Linked DNA regions of Oreochromis niloticus. The protein of the gene in region 2 purifies or fractionates together with the protein of the main gene of each other region. This does not show direct contact. Links are inferred from orthologs where the notes say so. Each region holds a gene or a part of one and is shown on either strand. Other genes may lie near its edges.

What was found. The genes of interacting proteins can lie anywhere in the genome.
Region 1: the proteins of mbtd1 (region 2) and histone H2A.Z purify together in Homo sapiens (affinity purification with mass spectrometry; 3 studies listed by BioGRID and IntAct, with this or other methods). This does not show direct contact. The link is inferred for Oreochromis niloticus from reciprocal best matches to the Homo sapiens genes MBTD1 and H2AZ1.

What each region holds. Positions count from the first base shown.
Region 1 is NC_031967.2:1,586,432-1,594,046, forward strand, and holds histone H2A.Z, read right to left. Parts: upstream 2,696-7,615; 5' UTR 2,679-2,695; coding exon 2,568-2,678; exon of another isoform or gene 2,554-2,567; coding exon of another isoform or gene 2,551-2,553; intron 2,269-2,550; coding exon 2,191-2,268; intron 2,045-2,190; coding exon 1,931-2,044; intron 1,854-1,930; coding exon 1,724-1,853; intron 1,500-1,723; coding exon 1,438-1,499; 3' UTR 944-1,437; downstream 1-943. UniProt on the Homo sapiens protein: Variant histone H2A which replaces conventional H2A in a subset of nucleosomes. Nucleosomes wrap and compact DNA into chromatin, limiting DNA accessibility to the cellular machineries which require DNA as a template.
Region 2 is NC_031973.2:29,982,312-29,990,421, reverse strand, and holds the start of mbtd1 (MBT domain-containing protein 1), read right to left. Parts: upstream 3,405-8,110; 5' UTR 3,244-3,404; coding exon 3,223-3,243; intron 1,590-3,222; coding exon 1,385-1,589; intron 747-1,384; coding exon 613-746; intron 526-612; coding exon 411-525; intron 322-410; coding exon 239-321; intron 160-238; coding exon 42-159; intron 1-41. Other genes in the region: tdrkh (tudor and KH domain-containing protein), read right to left, coding at 4,319-4,374, 4,902-4,956, 5,462-5,572, 5,676-5,827, 7,346-7,410. UniProt on the Homo sapiens protein: Chromatin reader component of the NuA4 histone acetyltransferase complex, a multiprotein complex involved in transcriptional activation of select genes principally by acetylation of nucleosomal histones H4 and H2A.

The sequences.
Region 1 (7,615 bases), on a different chromosome or scaffold from region 2:
GAGGTCAAACCCATTTTGAGACAACCATGTTTAATGAAAAGCTGCAACAGGAGGAAATAACTGACTGGTTTGTCCCATAAGTCTGTTTGGTCCCTTATATGCTGAATATGTACTTCTGAAAGCTGTTAATTTAAGCTTGTTTTATATGAGGTTCATATATGAATTAGCACTTCACACAATAGGAGTGTAGTGGGGTTATAGTGCCACCTAGTGAGGATCTAAAGTTAAGGCTAAAACACACTGACATTTAGAAGCCCATCCATCCTCTTCTACTCAACTTTTCCAGTTCAGGGTCACAGGGGTTGCTGGAGCCTATCCCAGCTGCCAGAGTGAGAGGTGGAGTACACCCTGCAAAGGTCACCAACCTGTCACACCTGTGGGTAACTAGGATTAATTTACCCAACCCCACTAACTGCAGGAGGCTGCCCAAATACTCAAAGAACCCATGCAAACCATAAAGGAAGGCCCAGCCAGGTCGTGGATGTAAACCCAGCACCTTGTTGTGAAGAAAGTGTTAGACATACTTAGAAATATAAGATCCGCCATCAGATGTAGTGCGTGGATTCATCAGTACTTGGGCCATGTAATCAAATAAAGGTCTGGCTGGCTTTGAAAATTTGAACCAACTCCAACCACCAAAGATTGGAGTTCTGACTTTTCAGTCATTTGCACCCATGAGAATTTCAGTGCATATTAGCAAATAAGTTTGAATATTCAGTAGACCTCAAGTATTTAAAAAAATAAATCTAAAACACTGCATGTAGCCAGCTCACCTAACGAGCCCATTGGCATTCCTCCAATTTTGTGTAAAACTGAACAAAAGTGGAATGAAAGCCAAAGCTTCACATTACGCCACCTGTAGTCATACATCACTGCATGATTAAGAGGAAAGTCACAGCACTCTGTTCAAAGAGAATAAGACAAAGACTAGGGGAAACACTCAGACTGTGCCAAATCCAGTCTTTATTCAGGAATCCAAAAATACCAACAAGGTTATGAACCGGTCCATGACAGTCCAGTGGTAAAGAGAATGAACATGCTTTGAAATACAAGGCTGAAATGGATGGTCTGCATTAAAGGTACATACAAAGCACAAGCACATCTTGAGTTTTCACAAAAGCTATGCACATCCTGTACTCCGTATCGACTAGGTTTGGTGGCTGTGAGCTCCTTTCAAAGCTGTGAAGATTAAAAACAGAAAGGCCAAATACACGTATACATCCAAGACAAGCCGGCTGGAGCCGCCCCCCACCCCCAAAAACCTGCAGGAGAGGGGAGGGGCCCACTATTAAAAAAAACAAAAAACCCAAAAACAAACCCCACCCAGAGTAGTAAATGCACACTACCATAAAATAATGTAAGATTACTAATCTAAGACATTTAACCACTTGATGCAGACTTCATCCTGAGATGGCACAACTTGCTGAACACTTCAGGTTATACAGTCTTCTGCTGGCCCTTCTTCCCGATCAGAGATTTGTGGATGTGCGGGATCACGCCTGGAAAAAATAAATGTTATAACAGTTTATATACTTGAACGGTTAAGTTTTCATTTCAGTAACCACTTTCAGCTGCTCCCTTGTAACAGAGTTGCCACAACAGTGTTGATGTTACAGTTTTACACCAGATGCAACACAAAAGGGATTTGTGCCTCAACAAAATGTGTAAACCACTACAGTACGGGAGTATAAGACCATCACACAGTTCTCTGTAATGTTCGTACCTCCGCCTGCAATAGTGGCCTTGATAAGTGAATCCAGCTCTTCATCTCCTCTAATAGCCAGCTGCAAGTGGCGTGGGGTTATACGCTTTACTTTAAGGTCCTTTGATGCATTTCCTGCCAACTCTAGAACCTGAAAGAGACACAGCCTTTACAAAAAGATCAACACCTCAAGCAACGAAGTGCAAGATAAACGGAGCTTAGGGTCACCTCAGCAGTAAGGTATTCGAGAATAGCCGCGCTGTACACCGCCGCGGTGGCTCCTACTCTGCCGTGGCTCGTTGTTCTGGACTTGAGGTGTCTGTGGATACGGCCTACCGGGAACTGCGGGGATAATGTGACACGAGTGAACAGAAGCAAAGCCGTGCTGGCCGCTCGATGAGAGCCCGCCACCGACAAAGAACCACTGACTTTTGGCTAATAGCGCGTGCTTGCGCAACCGAGAAAATGAATGAAATTTGGGGACAAACCTGCAGTCCTGCTCTCTGAGAGCGCGAAATCGCTTTGGTCTTGGTCTTTCCAGAGTCTTTACCAGCTTTACCACCAGCCTGTAAAACACCAGTACTGTTAGTGTGCCTCCGCCGAAACGCGCCTTATTGTAGCTCAACATTAACTTAAGGTCCGCTTAATATTCGCTAGCCATGCTAGCGCTTCCCCAGTGAAGCCAGTGGGTATTTAGCATGCTAATCCACTACACCAGCCAATGCTAGCGGCCAACTGTTAACTAATAAAGAAAATGCAACGCTACCAAATTAAGATTTGTTTCAAACAAACTACCTAAACAGAGTGTGTCGTTATAATGTTTCGTTAATACGACATGTAATACGTACCATATTTAAAAACTTACAAAGAAACTCTGACTCCGCAGCCAAAATAATATCCTCCGTCTGCACTGAATATCGACTGTTGTTTGAACTAGACCCCCTCCCCCCCACAGCGGGTCTTTATATACAACCATGGCTACCCGGATGACGGCAGTCACGTGATTACCGCTGCAGCTCTTCAGCCAATAAATGAGCTCTCTGTGCGGTTCCGTTCTAAGAGCTTATGGGTAATGTAGTTTATGTGGCGTATCCCTTTCCCATTTTATATCGAAATGAGTTAGCATTAGTTTTTCTTTCACATGTCATTAACTTTTAATTTACTATAGATAAAAGTCCCCACATACATTCATCTTCTTATCTGCTTATCCAGTTTAGGGTTTAGGCAGAAAGCTATCAAAGCTGATGGTAAAATTAAATAGCCCCATTTGGTAAAACCTCGCCTCTGTCAGTGCACCCCAGGGCAGCCGTGGCTACAATGTAGCTTGCCATCACCTGTTGTGAATGGGTGGATGACTGAATGTAGTGTAAAGCGCTTTGGGGTCCATAGGGACTAAGTAAAGCGCTATACAAATACAGGCCATTTACCATTTAGTTTAGTATATGAAGCACAGCAGAGTGCTCACCCCCGCCTCCCCCACATACCAATTTTCAGGGTCTTGCACGTTACCTCTTTTCTAAAAACACATATGTACTCGAGCAGAGGTCAGTGCAATAGCCTGGAAATCTAATTGCTCTGAGTATCATTTAACTCTAAGGTTGGGAAATTGCTGCTATTCTTGTATAACTGGAAGAACTTTGCTGAAGCAGCATGATCAAATGTTTAAAATAATGGGATTCCCTGTGCTGACTGGGACAACTGGCCACACCATCAACAGGATAAAGCAACCAGCCACAAGCAGACAAAGAAGGCAAACTGAAGAAAAAGTTGGTGCTCTGTGTTTGAAGTAATTTAATTACAGCCTGCATCAATCCATCCATCCTAAATGAATGTTGAATGAATCTCTGTGTGTTACATAGATGTCACAAGCTACCTGTAAAAATTCCCAGGCAGAAAGAGAGAGAGACAGAGCAATGGCCACTCATAAAGATCAGCCAGAAATCTATCACTTCCTACAGCTGTGCCTCAGATATGCAAGATTTTAGCCAAAGACTGGGTGTAGACTCAGTTCCACTCAGCCTTGATAAGGAAATGGCTCGAGCATCATAATGATCTTTTACACCACTTGTTCCAACCACCCCAAATGATACAGGAAGAGGGGAAAAGTCGTCGACCAAAAGGCCGTTCAACTTGAGCAAAAGCCTTCTCGGCACAAAGAGAGATACAACTGAATCCTCCCTGCTGTGAGCAGGGATATGGATGATACCAAAGAGTCTCTGCATGTTGAAATGAATATGCCCACTGGGTATGAACTTTGTCTGATCCAGAAGTATGATTTTGGCAGTATAAGTTTTCAGATGATTAGATCCTGGTTTTTGCTTAGACTGAAAGGAGAGATACAGGTTTGTACTATGAGATGAAAGTAGGGTCACAGTTCTGTTTCAAAATCAGAGCGATCCTCGCCGGATAAAGTGAATCCAGTACGATGCCCACTTCTTTAGACTGATTCAACATTCAAAGGACCGGAGACCAATAATATGCTCTATGCTTGTAACAGAAGGACCTATCAGTCTGTTTGTGCAGCTTTCCAGCTGTCACACTCCAGCTCAGTCCAGCACTGCTCGCAACAGCCGACTTAAAGAGAGGAGGGATGATTAGCTGATGGAGATCTGCTGTGTTGGTCAGCCCCACCCCCCTAACTGGGAGAGGAAATCAGCCATGGGTCTGCTGGGGGCCGTGTGGTGTCAGGGGAGGCTGACTAACACAGCAGATGGACTTTGAAAAAAAAGAAAAAAAATCAAAAAAATCAAAACTTTTTGTAAAGTCATAAGAAGAGCTGTCTTGTTGTCTCTTTGTTGTACATGGCTGCATCACAATACTGTAAAATCAGTAATATTGTAGTGTGAGCCATCATGTGCTGGATATGGAGAGATCAGGTTATGAACTAAACCAACAATGTTTCCACAATCCACATGAGGGAAATACTGAGAGTAGGAGAGAAAGAGAGGGACAGCTCAGAAGAAAAAGGCATAAAGAGCGTGAGAAGCGCTGATGTCATTTTTCCTGCGGGGACTTGAGCGGAAACAAAAATAGAAAATAAATAAATAAAATCTTTGGTGGGAAAATAGTGCAGCTGGAGAGTAGCTGACTGGGTCACTGATGAAAGACAAAAATAGATGCTAGTTTTTTACATGATGTCATCCTGTCACAATATGTTGAGTGAACTAATCCATTGAGCTAGTTATTACCAGCCAACACGGGAAATTCAACCTTTAAAGAGTGCTGAAGGAATGAGTGTTACAAACCCAACGTTATTATTTGGCATTGGCTCAATATTTTAAACTGAATTTTTTCCCCTTTTCATACGAGTCCAAATCCAACATCAAACTGTGGATAACAGAGGGTGTCAAAGCTGTCCTCAGCAGGAAGAAGGAGGCCTTCAGAACCAAGGACAGGACAGTTATCAAGTCAGCACAGCAGGAGGTGAAGCAGTGCCTGAAGGTGGCCAAGGATGCCTAAGACTACGTCCACACTAGCCCAGATAGATTTGAAAACGGCGTTTTCGTCTGAAAATGCTTCACATCCACACTAGCGTTTTCAGTCTTTTTCACAGAGTTGTGCATCCACATTGAAACGGCTAAAAATACTTAGGTTCCAGTCTAGCACATGCGTGAAGCGCAAGAAGATTCGGCCTGCCTCATTTCTGTCTGCCGTTCATTTACTTTCCGGCTCTTTGAAACGTCGCGGCAGAATGTCGAGGAAAAGCACCGAGTTTTTTAAATGGACTAACAATGAGGTGGAGTTGTTGCTGCGAGTAACACAAAAGTACAAAGTTGCAAAAGCGAGTGAGAATGCGTCATCGCTTTAGAAAGTCTCCGTTTTCACTGTCCACACTGTGACGCAAACGCACCGTCTTCAAATGTATTCCTTTTCGAGAGCGTTTTCAAAACGCTTCGTTTTCCTTGGGGAAAGCGCCGTCTCAGTGTGGACGGTTGGCCAAAACGGAGAAAAAACTATGCATTTTCAAACGAAAACGCATTAGTGTGGACGTAGCCTAAGTCCCTTTTCCATTAGTCCCTATTCAGACCGACAGCTGAGCTGGTGGAGCCGTTCCAACAAGAGGGCCCACTCAATGGAAAATATCTTGTATCGTAAACAGAGCTGGACTCCAGCTAATGGCGGTTTGGTCTGAGTAGCGTTTCGGTGAGCTCCTGCAGAGTTGGGTGGTTTTTTTCAATTATTACTGAGCACTTTTTCTCTGACTCGACCCCAAGCAATATCTAAGTCCTTTTACAATTGTAAACTTTTATATTTTGGTCACTAAAATGCCACCAAAGCCGACTAAATGAGGAAACTTGATCCAGCCTCGCCTGCAGCCTCTCCTGATGAGCCCTTGACCTGTCCTGAGTTGGCGACTGGGGCCCAGGCTGCCGATAGTAGCCGTGTCTGTGCTCTCAAAGTAGAGTAGGAGAGTTTCACCTAACTAAAGGTAACGGTTACCGAGATGCAGCGATCCCTGTCCACCTGTACTGACGACATCATCAGCCTCCAGAGAAAAGTGGACCATCTAACTAAGGCGGTGGCCAAGTTGGAGGATAAATGTGACGATTTGGAGTCCAGGTGTCAAAACATCCGCATCATTGGTGTTCTGAAAGACGACCCATTGTCAGCATCCACGGATGCCGATTCGCAGTTGCTAAAGGAGGCCTTTGACCTCCCAGAGGAGCCGCTGCTAGATCGCGCTCACCGTACTCTGGCTCCCAAGCCCAAGACACAAGAGCGGCCCTGTGCCATAGTAGCTAACTACATTACTACACTGACTGTGTTAAAATCCTTTCGAGGGCAAGGGAGCTTCAGTGGATCAAGGTGAACAATATGACCATCTCGGTTTTCACCGATTATCCCGCCAAGACGGCGCGAGCACATGCAGCCTTTGCAAACAGCTGCCGCTAGCTCAGAGGAGTCAAAGGGGTCCGATTCGACCTGCTGCACCCAGCCCGGCTGTGGATTATTCATGATGGGGTCACATGGGACTTACATTAAGACGATAACCAAGTAAGAAAAATATATCTAGGGGAACTGTTGATGTTTCCGGTTTATACTTCACGTTTTGAGGAGTGTATTTTTCTTTCTCATGGATAACTTTATCTTTGATATTCATAAAATGTAGTCTTTAAATGTTTGTTTCGTACTGGTTTACCTCGAAGCCAGAATTTTCACCGCAGGCATTCTTGGTTCCTGAGAATAGTGCCTAATGTATATTTTCATTCTATACTGCATGTCTAGTTCTGTAGGATTCACCCAGCACTTAGAGGTGTTTTTTCATTGCGCTATCTAGCTGTAAACATAAGTTTGTCAGTGACTCCCATAGGAGTCTGCAGTGAGGAAAGACAGAGTGAAAGCAAGGGGAGCCGAGCTCCTGGACCAGGTACGCACTGCTCGTTTTTTCACAACACTGGATTTAACCACGGGCTGGCTGGGTACTACTGCCAGTTTATGCCAGGCTTCACAGACCTGATCAGCCCCTTGACTGATCTCGCCCCAGATCTGGTCCAGTGGACGGAGCAGTGTCAGGCAGCGTTCGTACAGGTAAAGAAGGCTGTGGCGGAGGCGTGGTCCCTGCCTCAGCTGCAGGGGAGGGTGGTGCAGTGAGCTCAAGGGGCAGTGCCAGGGGGGTTGGAGGGACAGGTGTGCATGATAAAACTAATGAGGTTTCTCTCCTTTATATAGTGAGGCTGGAGACCACTGTACTGGGTATTGAAAGAGCACTCCCAAAGTGAGTAGCATGACAGGGTGTTGGGTCAGTCATTACAAAGGCTCTCTGTGGGGAACCCCTGCTCTACACTCCGAGTAAAGGGGATCAGCTGCCCGAACATTTACATGAGCAGGAAACTGTCAGTGCAGGAGGCCAGATACACATCAGCTCTCTTTATTATTACCTCCTGGGCCGCCCTCTGTTCCGATGCATTGGCT
Region 2 (8,110 bases):
GTTGTGTGAGAGATTTTACCTTAATTACTTGTAGCGTTTACCTGCTAGCTTTATGATTTCTGCTATCCAGTACACCTTGGTGGAGAAGTTGGTATCAGAGTTGGGCACTTCAATCCTCACACCTACTTCAATATCTCCCCAACATGTTCCCATGGGGGCCTGAGGCACAGAAGTTATCAGCTATGATAATCATAGTATCATATCAGTGGTGACCATATTCTCAGCTCCAGCTACTTACATGCTTGAAACAGCTGACAGGAGCCCCCACCGTGTTACTGCTACAGATATACTGCCCCCAGTCAAAACTCTCTCCAGGGACCACTGACAGAAAGAACAATTAGTTTGTAGCTTGTGTACATCAAAAAGAGCAGAAATATGAGCCCCATCATGATTGCTTTTTCACAGCCTACCTGCTTTCAGTTTGGCCTGGTTCTGTTGACTTGCTTGGTACTGGGCATAAGCTGCCAACTTTGCCATGAGAGGCTGTTTCTGTAAGACTTTGGCCTTTTTTGTTGGTGGTTTGCCCTTGTAAAAATCAAAGCAGATGTTAATATTTACACAATACAAAATTATGAAACTACTATACTTTTTTATCAAAGATAATGAATTTACCTGGAGTCTTGCCAAGATGCTAGCTTTTTTAGAATTTGAGGAATAACTCCTAGAACAGGACACACTGCAGAAACGCTTGGTTTTGGAGTAAAAAGCATCTCGTACACCGACCATCCCACACATCTCACAGGTGGCTGTGAAAACAAACCGAAATACATCAGCAGTCTACAAATGGTAAATGGCATTTATAGTTATCTCCATAAGTATTTGGAAATTGACACAATTGCAATTTTTGCTCTGTACGTGGTAAATGGACTGGTTTTTATATAGCGCCTTTCTACTCTGAATACTAAAAGCTCTTTATAAATCTTTCCTCATTCACCCATTCACATCCAATCGCACAAGTACTTTTTTCTAGGCACTTTCTATGCAAGTTCTTCCTACCCAACATTCATACACATTCATTGTCCGGTGGATGCATCGGAGAACAACTTGGGGTTATTATCTTGGCCAAGGATATTTGGCATGTAGAATGGAGCAGAAGGGGACCGAGCCACCCCATCACTACAGTGGATTTTAAATTAACCAAATGTGATTTAAATGAAAATTTTTAGATTTAATTCAAAGGGTATACCAAAAGTAATGCATTAACTGTTTAGGTAATTCAATATCTTGGCCAAGGATATTTGCACATATGAACGTTGAGGAGCTGAGGCTCAAACTAATAATCGTTATACTTCCTGAGCCACAGCAGCTAAACGTAAACACTATTATTGTTCACTCACAGATTGATATTTAAGCAACACACACAAAAAAAGCCTCATGTACTGACCCATTCCAGCCTTTCCATCAGGGTAGGTGTAGACTTGTCCATTGTTCTTGATGATGGGCAGACTAGCAGGGATGGAGGGTACCACCTCATCCTCACTGTCGTCTGAGCTAGAGCTGCTGGTGGACTCCTCGCTGCAGCTGTCATAGCCATCAAACATCCCGAATGAGTCTCGTCGCTTACGATCTGAACGTGGGGTACGCTCAGCCTTTACAGATGAGGACACAACAGAGAAACACTGAATGAATTCATATGGATGCTTTTAGGGGTGTCTGTAGCTCAGGAGGTTCTCCTCTCCATTTCTCCATATAATGTAACACGTTTACTTTGGCGTTGTTCAGAGAAAGCAGTGAAATTGGTCTAAGAGAAGGTAACTGTTCAGAAAAACATATTTCATTCAAGTCATTTTATTTTACTCCATTCCCTTTTGAGTTATTTTACTTTACTAAAACTTAATAAAAGAAAAATAAAGCTGCATTCTCATACTTCTATTCTTTTAAGCTATTGCACTTTATTTTAACAGCTCCTTACAAATGTCCTTGTTCTGTGGTCCTGGAGTTTAGCCACACAAACTAGCCAAACATTTGTCTTTAGTGCAGAAGGGATGCCCAGTTTTTTTATTTATTTTTTAACAGTGGCGCTCTTCAAATTAAATATACCATGGTTTTTAATATTAATAAAATTAACCTTTTCTTCAAACATATAATGGTGAAAGCACAGCAATAATAGTGCCTTAAAATAATTCTTATTACTGTTAATCTCAATCTCTGTGCGAATCAATACAAAAAAACGAAAATACTTAAAACAACTTTTGTGAGGAAGCGAGAAAGGAAATATTGCTCTAAGGCAATCTTGGGCGGTAGGAAGGGGAAGAATGGGGGAGCAGACGCAGTCTGCAATAGTTGCAAAAGAAATGGTTTGATTGCAATGGTTGATGCAAAAAATAATAATGGACCAGAAGAAAATAAAGATTCAAATCTTCTTGGTTCACATTTTTATTATTTTTTATCAATATTCTTTCCATTTTTTATGAGCATTTGTAAGATGTTTTAGACAAATGTAAACAAAAATCAACTCCCTAAGCTAAATTTTAGTATTGAAGTGAAGCTGAACTTGTTTTAGTTGAAAGATGTATTTTTACAGTTCGCCTTTCATCATTAATGCATCATTTAGATTCAGGTAGGAAAATATCAGCGAACCATATCTGAGTCAGCATGACTTTTTTCGAAACGCCCAAAAATCTCTAAATAAATGAATAAATACTACGTGAAAGTATGGAAGTCTGATCACAGGATCCGGAACAATGCGTACATGTTGTCAAAGCTAGTTTACTTCCTCTTCACAGCATCTCAGCCCAAACATTACACTACGCGCAACAGTTTAACTTAAAAAAAATAAAAAATAAAAAAAATAAATCAAGACACCCATTTCCAAAGACATCCTTTGTAAGCTACATTTTACATACATATATACTGGAAAAGTAAACTAATACCGAAACTAAAATAAGGGACGGCCTTATTACAAACACCTCCTAAAGCTAAACAGCACTAGCAGAGCTAGCTAGCAGAACCTGTTTTTCCAGGGGGGGGGTTTCAGAACAAAGCCTTTTTACGTTCGTCTATTAACGTATAGTTGCAATAGTTAGACTTGTAAGAAAACTCTACTCGTTTTTTTTTTGAGAGAGAGCGAGAGAGAGAAAAGAAAGAGCTTTAGTATTATGTGTAGATGGGTGAGCCACTAGCTGGCTATCGTAAACAGATAACAACAAAGGAGGCGTACTACCCTGAACAATCCACTGGAATCGGAGGCTCGCGGCCCAAAAATGTTTCAAACCAACTCACCAAATCCCTTGCGTTTTCCATCAGCCCTTCATATAGCTGTTCTTCCAGTTACCTGCACTTCCTAATTCAAACAAATCCCCTCACCTGGGGTATAACCTAGCTTTGAATTTTAGTCGAAATACTACCAAGCAGGATATCAACAAATTACTCTGCAGCCTCTGCGCATGAGCGACCGTAACCTACTTTCATGTGATTGGTGGATCTGCAATGGAGGTCATCGACCGATGCAGACACAAAATAATAGACTTTGCAGAGTAACTGAATGAAAGGGGCCTTCAGAACAACTACAGATTATCAGTAGGTGTAAATACAGAAACGTTACAGTAATTTCTATGGTTTTGTTTTGTTTATAACTAGCTCCTGACTTTCATTTGGAATTTTTCCATATAAAAAGAACTTCAAAATAAAATACAGTAGTACATGTGAAGTAAAATAAATATTTTATTAGGATATAGTGACATTATTACATTTTCGAAGACAATCTTTCTTGTGAAAGATTTCTACAGTAGATGCAATATATTCACATTGAACAAAATCTGAGAACCACATTCAATAACACTTTAGCTTTTAACTTCCAAAATATATTCACTTAAGCCTGATAATGGGCATAGTTTTTTTGATATACATACAAGTACAGCAAGAAACTAAACAATATTAACCACAAACCAAATGAACTTTGCTCCAGTAATTCCAATCACAGTGCTTTTCAGTAATAATACTGGCATTCTAGATTTATTCTTTTCCCTGTTCCTTGAACACAAAATTTGGCAAAGCAGAACGAAACATTAAACAAAAAACAAAGAATTATTTGCTGAAGTAACAACAACAAAGTGATAATGGCTGGAAGAACTGCTGCACACTCATCAAGTAGGTAAGGCTTCAGGAAGAGGGTTTATGTAATCAAGTTTAGGTTTAGGTTAGGCAAAGCTCTACATCATCATTAGGGCTGATGCTGAGGAGTAGATGTTGAGGACTGCTAAAGAAAAGTTCATCATTTTTAGACATAATGGTTCACACAAGAGCGTTCACTAGCAAATGTTCAGAATCAGACATCAAACTGGGAGAAGATACCTTGGTTTTTTGAATATCTTTGGTCTCACAGCAACTCGTCCTCCACAACATCATCAACACTTCCTGATATAGAGGCAGCTTCTGAGGTGCAAGAAGGAAACACTCAAGTTAACAATGACTGTAACAGCAGCTTCAACTCTTTTTGTTTATCCACCATGGTACAAAAGCTTGACAGAGTCATGGTGACACTGTCCCTTTTGTTTCACTATGTTATATTTCCTGATTTGTTGGAGATAAACTACAAATTGCACTGAATACAAGTATTCTGAGCATTAGGGTCAAGTTAATTGATCCTAACCAAAATGTATATTGTTGAGTTCATTTCTTCTTGAGACACTTTAGAAAGTTGATTTAACAGAACTGCATTCCTGTTAATTTTCCACCACATGGGGGCATACACTACCTCTCTGTAGGTTTAAGAAGTGTCCCAAGTCAAGAATCTGATCCAATGTGGACATCACTTGGATATTCTATTGTATTTAGAAACCTAGATAACATTTCTACTTCAACATACAATCCCAGTAACATAAGGGTATGAGGGTTACTTTATGATCGCTTAAACATAGTCACTGGCAAATCTCAAATTACAGTTCCATGACAGAACTCACCTGATAAACTGATACAGGAAAGACTGAGCTCTGATGATGCTCCTATTACATCATCCTGTTGGAAGAATAAAAGTGATTAGCCGCTGTTAACCAGTTCTTCAAACTTTCAGAACAGAAGTAAGGGGATTACCTAATCTCTCAGGCATAAAGATAAGTTAAAATAATAATAATAAAAAATGACAGAGTACCTTGTCGGATACAGTTGGACAGAGATTATGAAGCGCTTTGAGGCGACTTTTGTGATTTGGCGCTATATAAATAAAATTGAATTGAATTGAATTGAATGGCATCAGTCTTGCAGCCTGCAAGTCATGGCTGCAAGTCAGGGTTGTTGTCAGTCGGTGGAGGTTAACTGAGGGAGTCTGGATTCCCAAAAATTAGAATTCCACAATCATCCAAGTAGTTTTGATCTATCTCTCTGTTTAGTGTTGATTTTTCCAGGATTTTTTCCCGCTGGCTTACAGATGTCCTGTTCAAGATTAAGTATATTGATACCCTATTTTTGTCCAGGAAGAAGTAAGAGACGCTGCAAGACACAAAAAGCAGAATCAGTAACTTACCAGCATCATCTGCAGACAGCCAAGATTGCAGCCCTCTTTTTTTCCATTCAAATCTTCATGGAAGATAACGGCATAGCCCAATCGTATAAGCTCCTCTCCAACATCCACAGTCTTTTTTACATGATATGCACATGGAAAGAGGAGACAGGGTAAAGGACAAACCAAATACAGGCTTATTAAAGTCTTATTATTAAGAAATAAAATCCTATCTAACCTTGCCCTCACTGTTGTCATAGAGCTTGACACTGGGCCATGAGGAGATTTCCGAGTGAGAGTAGCTGCACAGTTTGGCCTGCAGGGGTCTCCAAGAGGCACAATATGTCAGCCTCTCAAACTGATCCAGGGCTTCCTCAGTCCAAACCCCTCCTGCATGACAGGTTGATGGAGGAAAGAGACTGAAATAATCAAGAATTCAAGAACAATGCACTGCAGAATACTAAAAGACCTCAGTATATCCTCTGCATTGATTGTGCCACCGTAACATCATCACACAGTCAGTTTTATTTATGTTCCCCAGTAAGGTAAGTCTGAGTGATATAGCGAATGTAGTTTTTTCACTTATGATGGTTAAAATGGCTCTATTGTAACCATCGAGTATAAACTGCCATGGTTATATTAAGCTGTCTGCAGTTTTTTTTCTCCCACATGCTACAAATGCATCACTAATCCCACCTCCCCAGACGTTTTTCTACCTGGCACACTGCGCTGAGCATGCGCGTTTATATACTGCCAAATAGGAAAAAATATGGTGACAGTGAGAGTCTCAGACAAGCAAGGAAATGAGACTGTAACTGAACAGGAGCCAGACAAGATAGTTCCAAAGAGAAACAGCACTGGATCAATAATCTGGCAGTGGTTTGGATTTCGCAAGGAGGATGTCGAACCTGAATGTGGAACATGGTATTTAGTACTAGTGGAAATGTGGTCACATGTCACCAAGCTTCACTCAAACCTGGAGGTGTTGACAGGCTTGTGTTGTTGGCACAGAACTTACACACCTTAAACACTGATGAGAGTGTTCTTTTTCAGGAGTACAAGTCACAATCCTTCATTATACCTTAGCTTTGTGATTATTTTACCAATATGCGTGGTGTGTTTTGTTGTTTAAAATCTAGAACAGAAAGCGCAATCATTATTTAGGTTGTTTTGAGATGCTCTAATACCTGTGACATGACTGTTGTTGTTCAGTGGTTTTTCAGGCATTGTCTGAACTTGGAACAGTTTTCCATTTTACCACTTTTTGTTGTTTAAACTTCCTAGCACATATAGAGCCGATAGTTCTGAGACACTCTGATACCTCTGACAGTTTTTGGTGAATGGCTTTTATAGACATTAACTACACTTTTGTTTCTGTAGGTCATCACATTTTACAGTTTTTATATGCTATAAGCACAGAGAACACCTTTTTAATTTCAATTGTTTCACTTTGTCTCGTGAATTCTTGCTTACTTTTTTTGTTAAAGGGTTCGTGTTGACAACAGAAAGAGACATACTGTGAGAATATTGTCATTTGTGAAAAACTTCTGTGTGCAACTGATGGTTAAAATAAAACATATTTTTTGGCTATATCACAACACATGATATATACACGACCAGACAAAAGAACGCCAAAATGGTAATGCCAGTGGACGTGATATGAATTTCACTGCACAACACAGTGTGACAGGAGGTAAGCAGTGGGCATAAAAGTGCCCTTATGTCCTCATGTACCAGCAAGTGTGTGACAAAGTGTGTATGTGTGTGTGTGTTTGGGAAAGAGTGTGTATGTAAGAGAGAGGTGTAAGAAAGAGGGAAAGGTAGTGAAAGGGTAAGAGACAGTGAGTGAATGAGCAAGTGAGAGAGAGAGAAAAAGAAAGACAGTCATTGTCAAGATGAGAGCTTTACCTTTTGGCTTCACTCCTGCTAAGCTGCACTCAATAGCTTGAAATGGTAAACTGAGGAAGTCGCTCCTGAAAATTGCAGCATATGCAAAAGCTGTTAATAAGCCATGTCCTTTTTTATCCACATTACATCCAACATTTTACAGTGTGCAGTAGCAGTATGTCACATCACAAGTTCTTCCACAGTTCGATGAAGAGGTGTACAAAGCAACACTCACAGCATGAGCTAACATAGAAATGCAGAATTTAAAATTGTGTGCTCTTTAAAATCAGTAACTCACCAGCCTCCTCTGAAGACAGCCAGTCTGTCTCATGCTGATATGACGGTCACAAACAACAAAACTGCACTTGTACCAGGTTATATTTTTCTTTGTAATACTTCAATAAAAACATTGCTGATTGTAACCCATTTCAAAGTAATGTGTTACTCTTATCATTATAATCATCATATTTGTCTGTAAAGCAGTATTATTTTGCATTATTGTACTAAATCTCTTGATCACGCTAAAACTACTAATCAATTTATTTTGCTTTTACTTGCAAGTCAAGACAAAATAATTGGATAATAATTGTAAAATTCATAATAATCATAATAATTTTAGACCCCCATTCTGCATTTAGATTAGATTAGATAAAACTTTATTAATCCCTCGGGTGGGTTCCTCCGGGAAATTCGGTTTCCAATAGCACAGCACTGACAGAAGTTACATAAATTGAGCAGAAATATACCATATATACACATATATAATTACAGAGACATATATAAATA